Linked DNA regions of Xenopus tropicalis. The protein of the gene in region 1 binds, or shares a complex with, the protein of each later gene. Links are inferred from orthologs where the notes say so. Each region holds a gene or a part of one and is shown on either strand. Other genes may lie near its edges.

What was found. The genes of interacting proteins can lie anywhere in the genome.
Region 2: the proteins of grm5 (region 1) and homer1 are in contact, whole or in part, in a crystal structure (PDB 1DDV), measured with the Rattus norvegicus proteins. The link is inferred for Xenopus tropicalis from reciprocal best matches to the Homo sapiens genes GRM5 and HOMER1. Residues at the interface, in XP_006229721.1 of Rattus norvegicus: Thr1155, Pro1156, Pro1157, Phe1160; in NP_113895.1 of Rattus norvegicus: His12, Phe14, Trp24, Thr70, Ser71, Gln72, Lys73, Phe74, Gly89, Phe90.

Annotation. Positions count from the first base shown.
Region 1 is NC_030678.2:167,827,323-167,831,611, reverse strand, and holds the start of grm5 (metabotropic glutamate receptor 5), read right to left. Parts: upstream 2,801-4,289; 5' UTR 2,439-2,800; intron 1-2,438. UniProt on the Homo sapiens protein: G-protein coupled receptor for glutamate. Ligand binding causes a conformation change that triggers signaling via guanine nucleotide-binding proteins (G proteins) and modulates the activity of down-stream effectors.
Region 2 is NC_030677.2:185,978,360-185,981,859, forward strand, and holds part of homer1 (homer protein homolog 1), read right to left. Parts: intron 1,622-3,500; exon of another isoform or gene 1,602-1,621; intron 1,381-1,601; coding exon 1,224-1,380; intron 1-1,223. UniProt on the Homo sapiens protein: Postsynaptic density scaffolding protein. Binds and cross-links cytoplasmic regions of GRM1, GRM5, ITPR1, DNM3, RYR1, RYR2, SHANK1 and SHANK3.

The DNA.
Region 1 (4,289 bases):
GTATAGGGATTCCCAGGGTGCCAGTTCCCCGCGCCATTACAGTTACACCATTGCACCACAAGCCATGTCCCTATGATCCGGCCGTTTCAGTGAATGGAGCTGGTTCTGGGCTGGATGATGGGCTGTCGAGTCAATGAGCCAGTGGGGCTGAAGGAGAGAATGCCAAGGCTGGCAGCCCCCAGGATTAGAGAGACCTCGTGCCTGTCAGCAGTCATGTGTTCAGCTCCTGATCCCGGGTAGCACGTCTCTCTGCTCCCATGACATGGGGGGGCTGCTATCAGGGGCCCCATACCATAGACTGCTATATAGGCTTTCATCATTCTGTCCCCAGGCTGAGTTATTATCCCTTCTTTATATGGTAGCTACATAGGCTCTCTGCTTGCACCCAGCACCATGTCACTTTAAACGGATGGTTCACCTTTAAGTTAAATTCTAGTATGTTATACAATGGCCAGTTCTAACCAACTTTTCAATTGGCCCTGATTATTTACAGTTTTTAAATGATTTGCCTTCTTCTTCTAACTCGTTGCAGCTTTCAAACAGGGGTCACCGACCCCCGCAGGCAAAAGTTGTTATTGCTACTTTTTAGAACTTATTTTTCTATTCAAGTTCTCTCCTATTCATATATCAGTCTTTCATTCAAACCACACCCTGGTTGCTAAGGTAATTTGGTTCCTAGCAACAAAATAGCTGCTGAAACTCCAAACGGGAGAGCTGCTGAACAAAAACTAAAATAATTAAAAAAAACTACAAATAATAAAAAATGAAGACCAAAGTCAAAGTCGGCTTTTCACTCTACTGCGCATGGGTGAGGATAGAAGACGAAAAAAGGAAAACTTGCCCGCATACACCCCGGCTGGGAGTTTCAGGCATGTGATTAAAGTCACTTGGGGGTGCCTAACATTTTCATGTAGCTTTTCCTTCCCCTTTAAACATTTTTCAGTGATTTTAGAGTTATTGGTAAATTTCCGCTTTCGCCATTGGTGGATTGTTTTGCGAAACGGATGAAAATATTCGCCACGCGTCCAAAATTGTTGTCCAAATCAAAAGAATGGTAGCGTGTCAAAAAAGAACGGGCGTAAAAAGAATAGCCGCAGGCGAAAAAAGAATAGCCGCGGGTGACAAAAGAATAGCCGCGTGCGACAAAAGAATAGCCACAGGTGACAAAAGAATAGCCGCGGGCATCAAAAGAATAGCCACAGGCGACAAAAGAATAGCCGCAGGCGACAAAAGAATAGCCGCAGGTGACAAAAGAATAGCCGCGGGCATCAAAAGAATAGCTGCAGGTGACAAAAGAATAGCCGCAGGCGTCAAAAAAGAATAGCTGCAGGTGACAAAAGAATAGCCACGGGCATCAAAAGAATAGCCGCAGGTGACAAAAGAATAGCCGCAGGTGACAAAAGAATAGCCGCAGGAGACAAAAGAATAGCCGTGGGCGTCAAAAAAGAATAGCCACAGGTGACAAAAGAATAGCCGCAGGTGACAAAAGAATAGCCGTGCGACGAAATAATACCCGCAGGCGTCAATTTTTTTTTGACGCACAACATTTTCACAGTTTCGCTAATCTTTTAAAAGATTCGCAAGCAAAACGGGACATATTCGCTCATGACTAGTAAATATAATTGCCCTTGAAAGGGGAATCAGTCTCTTACAATCCCCCTCCACTGCTTTGCCTGACTATTCACACTTTTCTATTGTATCAGGAGTCAGCTCTCCTCCAGCCAAGACCGTTCCCACAATGCCTTGCCTGTTCTGCCATTAACAGATCTGCAGAGAAGGAGAACTACATTTCCAAACAAATCCCACAAAAATATCTGTTGCTTGTGTGGACATTCCCTTTAATAAGACATGAAAAAAGCAGATTGCAGGGCTGTGCGTTTGTTAACCCTTTGAAACAAAACAAGGAAATATTTTTCACATAATTTCCCCTTGCAGCAACTCCCAGCATCCTTTAGCAGCTGAAACACTATCAATTATCAACTTCCACCTTTCAAACAGGTAAGAAGGCATGAAATGCCATGTTTAATTCTCTAAGCCCTCTATGGCATGTATTCCTTCCAATATACCTGTTTAACCCTTTACATGTCAGGGGCAGTAAAACCTACAGCACTGACACAAAGGGACAGAATACCAGTGCCACAGACTCAACATTCCCAGTTTGACCTTGACCTATGTTGTATGCAGGAAAAGCAAACCTACCCAGCACAGAAAGGGTTAAGGGAAAGTGGCATCCATCACCTTCAAACCAATAGACTTTAACAAACTTCAGGTGGTGGCAGTATTTGCAAAAGTGCAGTAAAGTAAAATTGGAATATGGAAAATTGTGGCATAAAAACATTGTGGTGAGCTTTGGCATTAAATCTGAGTATTATTTACCAGTCTGCCAGGACAACGTATTGTAAAAGTTAATATAAAAGCGAACTTCCCCTTTAACTTACTCTCTTTAGATGCATCCCAATTGGGTCTGGCTTCCCCAGATTTTCTTTCCTTTGCGGAATGGAGCGGATCTATCACGGGCTGCCTCTGCCTTTTAAACACATTAGTTCCACTCTGCTAATAGTTCCGATCTAATTTATCTGCAATAACATTTGTGTGGCCTTTTAATGAGGAAAAAAAACAAACAGGCGGTTAAACATAATCAGACTTTTAAGTTGGCTCAATTAAGCAGAGATCCTGCGTGTCATATTGGGGAATAGGCAAAAACTAAGGCTTAGTAGTAAATACAAAAATCACATATCAATCCCCCCAACTCTTTTTCTTTTTTGGAAGTTAGAAAGGGAATGGGAGGGGTTCTGTACTTTGAGGAATGAGGTGGGGGGGGGGGGGGGGTAAGAAAGAATGAAAGAAATCATGCCCTTGATGTAAGCCTGCACATGTGATTGTGCTTGGTAATAAGTAGGGAAGAAAAGTGGATAAGATTCCCAATCCTATAGATCAGGCTCGGGGGGAGAGTGAGGAGCAGCATGGAAAGGAACATGGTCCCTCTGGCATTCTGCTGCCTGTTCTTCTTCCTCCATGTTTGCAGGGGCCAGTTCCCAAGGGCATGTAGCACCGCAGAGTCGCTCCTGAGCAAGGAGTGTTGCCCTGTGTGGTCTGGAGATGGGTCCTCTTGTGGCCAGCTATCAGGAAGGGGTGTCTGCCAGGATGTTGTCCTGACCAGCTCTGCTACTGGCCCTCAGTTTCCATTCTCTGGGGTTGACGATAGAGAGAACTGGCCAACAGTATTTTACAACAGGACGTGCCAATGCCTTGGCAACTTCATGGGCTATAACTGTGCAGACTGCAAATTTGGCTTCAGAGGGCCAAACTGCACAGAGAGAAGAACAATGATAAGAAAGGAGATATTCCGAATGAGCAGTGCTGAGAAGAGCAAATTCGTTGCCTACTTGAATTTGGCTAAGCACACCACCAGCCGTGACTATGTCATAGTCACTGGCACCTACGCCCAGATGAATAATGGCTCCAACCCTATGTTTGCGGATATCAACGTGTATGACCTCTTTGTCTGGATGCATTACTATGCCTCCCGTGATGTCTTCATAGGAGAAGATGCTCTCTGGAGAGACATTGACTTTGCCCATGAAGCTCCGGCTTTTGTGCCCTGGCACAGGTACTTCCTGCTGCACTGGGAACATGAGATTCAGAAACTCACAGGAGATGAGAATTTTACCATCCCTTTCTGGGATTGGAGAGATGCCCAAGGTTGTGACATATGTACGGATGAGCTTCTGGGAGGGGTCCATCCCACCACCACCAGCCTATTAAGCCCGGCATCCTTCTTCGCTTCATGGCAGGTAAGACACTTTTCCTTAATATGAGGTGCAAGCCCCAATCCTTTGCATTGCATCCCTGCACTAGGTATAGTTTATGGGGGGGGGGGGGGGGGGGGTAGACAAGACAATAAGCCTATAGTGGTTGGTTTTGCTGCTTCTGTGTGATGAGCAGCTACACTATTGCCCTGTAAAGCCCCAAATAATCTTTATTTTTTAGAACCTTTATTTATATAAAATCCACTAACTGCAAGTGAAGTTAATGCTTCACCTATTGAAACACAAACAGTAACAAAACCCCTACGTGCTGCTGGTTGATAAGCAGAGCTGAAGGGCACTAATTTCCAGTCTCTTGTTTAAAGGGATGGGGTGCAAGAGAGATGCAATGATAATGTATATTGGGATAGTCATATTCTTTATTCATTCATCTGTTGTTCAGTTACAACTCCAAACACCAATTATAGAAGGCTGTTGTAGGGGTGCTGGGAGTGGTACCGCAACAGCTGAACTCGCTGCACT
Region 2 (3,500 bases), on another chromosome or scaffold:
TACGTGTGTTTTAGCAGAGGCAATTCTCAGTATTGTCTATGGCAGGGTATTTTCTGGTGTTTAGTAGCCATGACAAGAAGCTGCTACTAAGTAGCTCCATGTGTCTTCACCCTACAAAGAAGCCAGCGCTACACATTAGAACTGCTTTCAAGTAACCTATTGTTTCTCCTACTCCCATGTAACTGAAGGAGTCCCAAGTCGGACTTGGATTTCTTACTATTGAGTGCTATTCTGATATCTACTGGGTGCTGCTATCTTGCTCCCTTCCCATTGTACTGCTGATTGGCTGCTGGGGGGAAGGGAGGGGAAGATATCACTCCAAGTTGCAGCACAGCAGTAAAGTGTAACTGAAGTTTATCAGAGCACAGGTCACATGGCTGTGGCACCCTGGGAAATGAAGAATATGGCTAGCCCCATGTGAAATTTCAGAATTAAATATTTAGAAAATCTGTTTGTGTTTTTGCAAATCGGATTTCAATGCAGGATTCTGCTGGAGAAGCTCTATTAACTGATGCATTTTGAAAAAAAAACTTGTTTTCCCATGACAGTATTCCTTTAAGGACAGGGTTATGTTTCAAAACAAAGGATCAGCCCGTCAGAGACGAACTCTTTGGTGTTTAAATGGGCACCAGCAAAAGACAATTGTAGTGGATGGAATTCCAAAGTATCCATCTTGCTGCTGAGTATTCCTATGTAATGCACAGGTACAGTAAATACAGTGCACTCATCAATGGATGAGCATATACTATGCAACAAAAATCCAAAATCCATACGCAGATGTATAATTGGCAAGGGGCATCACTGCAAGTGGTTGGTTTGGCTCAGGGGTGGCCCTTATCCCAGTCTGAAATGTGAAGAACACTGAAAAATCAACAGATGCTTGGGAAATATCTCCTAGCTGTAGCCTAAACAATGCCAGTAATGTTACTGGAATATACCAGCAATACCGTGTCTCACATGATACATATCTAAAACATATGGACCAATTATTTTGCATTTCAGTTAAACAATAAAGGTAACTAAAGCACTTTTCACATTGTTTTGAAATTGTGCAACCAGATCCATTCGGATTAACAGACACATGGATGGATATACCCGCTCTCAGCATGCCCAGTAACAGGGAAGTGGGTTGTGCTAGACTTGTATCTGATGCCAGCTGATACTGCTCGGCACTAATTAACTCCATCTTGCCAATGATAACCAATGAAAAAGCACCTTCTTACCTTTGATCCATCCAGACTTATTATCCTGTAGACATTTCTTGTGCTATCATAAAAATAGGACACTGTGACGGCATGCTTGCTGGTTGGAACCCAGTTCTTCTTAGTGTTGGGGTCTATCTGGAAGACATGGGCTCTGGTGCTAAAGATGGGTTGCTCGCTGTAGGGGAGAAAGCAGAAGAACTGAATCTCATTTGGTCTCAGGATAGTTGTCCAAGATGAAGACAGAGGCTCTCCCCAACAGGAAGCTTCAGTCATGTCACTTTCCATGCTTGTCCCCAGCTAGAGAGGCATAATGGCTGCAATATTAAATCATGGCTGTCTGATGGTCCAGCAGGGTGATACACAAAACCTAATTATAGGCCTGTTACGGAGCCTTACCTCCACCCCTATTCCATCTGCCGGCACTAGTAAAACAGCTTGTCACAATCACACCAAACACTGCTCTAACACAGGTCCTGTCTTATTTTGCCAGGAGTTGGAAGCACTTTAAAACTATGCGGTAATCCCGAGCCTTAATAGCTTGCATGTGTTAATTAAATCACAGCTGCTCCACTGAACCGCACAAGGTATGTAACATTTCCAGATGTAATCACACCACATTTACCCTTAAGTGCAGAATGCAGAAGGGGTTATCCCACCGATTCCCCCCATCTCTCTCTCATAGCAGGGAAGGTAAAAAAAGACAGAAAAACACAAGTGTAGCGCACTGGCTGTCAAGGCATTCTGGGAGCTGTAGTTATAGTTGGTAGGCATCATAAATAAGAGTATAATGAAATACCTGTACAGTGGTTTATATATTAAAGGGGTTGTTCACCTCGGAGTTAACTTTGAGAATGATGTAGAGAATAATATTCTGAGACAATTTGCAATTGGTCTTCGTCTTTTATTATTTGTAGTTTTTTAGTTATTTAGTGCAGGAGCTCTCCATTGTGGAGTTTCCCCAGCTATTTGGTTGCTAGGGTCCAAGTTACCTTAGCAACCAGGGAGTGGTTGGGAGCTGCTGGGGTTAGTGACCCCCATTTAAAAACTGCAAAGAGTTCGAAGAAGAAGGCAAATAATTAAAAAACTATAACAAATAAATAATGAAGACCAATTGAAAAGAATAGGACATTCTATAACATACTAAGAGTTAACTTAAAGGAGAACCACCCGTTTAATGCACAAAATTTTAGGGATGCACCGAACCCAGTTTTTTGGGTTCAGCCGAACCTCCAAATCCATCCCCGATGGATTCGGCTGAATACCGAACTGAATCCGAATCCTAATTATCCGGAAGGGGTAAAAATTGCCGCTTCCAAATCCTCATTAGCATATGCTAATTCATGCTAATTAGGATTCAGTTCGACCAGGACCGTGGATTCGGGGGAATCCGAACCCTGCCGAAAAGTGGGGTAAGCACTTACAGTATATTTCATGGGGTCTGGGTAAGATCAGGGGGCTCATTTATAGAAGTGCAGGAGCTTTAAGAGGTCTACAATTGCCCCCCCTTAGTGCTAATGAACAGAGTAGTTGCACTGGGTAATGGCAGCGCTTTGCGCCTTGTGCTAGATATGATGGTCTGCAAAGTGCGACACTGTCGAGCACAAGTCAGTTTTGTATTTAACTATTACTCCCTCACCTGCATGTCTAAACCACATGGACTTTGTGCATCCCATGGTGCAATGTATAAGGAATAAGGTATTTCTTGCCCTTATGATCCCACAGTGGGAGGGGCCAGTTTCAACGTACAGGAAGGAAAATGGGACAATAGCCCAGGACCCATTTTTTTTAAGGGGGGCCCAGCGCCAGGTAAAGGGCAGTGATGGGATGGATTGGGGCAGAGTCAGAATGCAGCCCAGGGCCAAAGGAATAATTAATCATCCCATGAGTAGGACAAGCAGAGCTAGAACATTGTCATGGAGCCTTACATATGGGTCTTTAGAGGGTCATTAACATCAACAACTTCAGTCTTTGTGCCTGAAAACAATACATAACAATACCAAATGGTCAGCAATACAGAGTCGTTTTGGTTTGTTATTAATTATGAAAAAAATCAGAAATCATATCCAAAATCCATCATTTCTATCACAGTAGAGTAACTGATATGCCTTATGCATTGCGGTATGGCTGATGGGATGGCTACACCCATATCCCTAATCCTAATGTGAGGTTATAAGGAGGACTTATATAAATGCATGTTTATTTGTTGCCATTACTGGTTTTTATTTACCCTTTATGTATCAGTAATACAACATGAACTAATTCATAGGTTTTAATCAGTGCAATATTTTTTTAAAC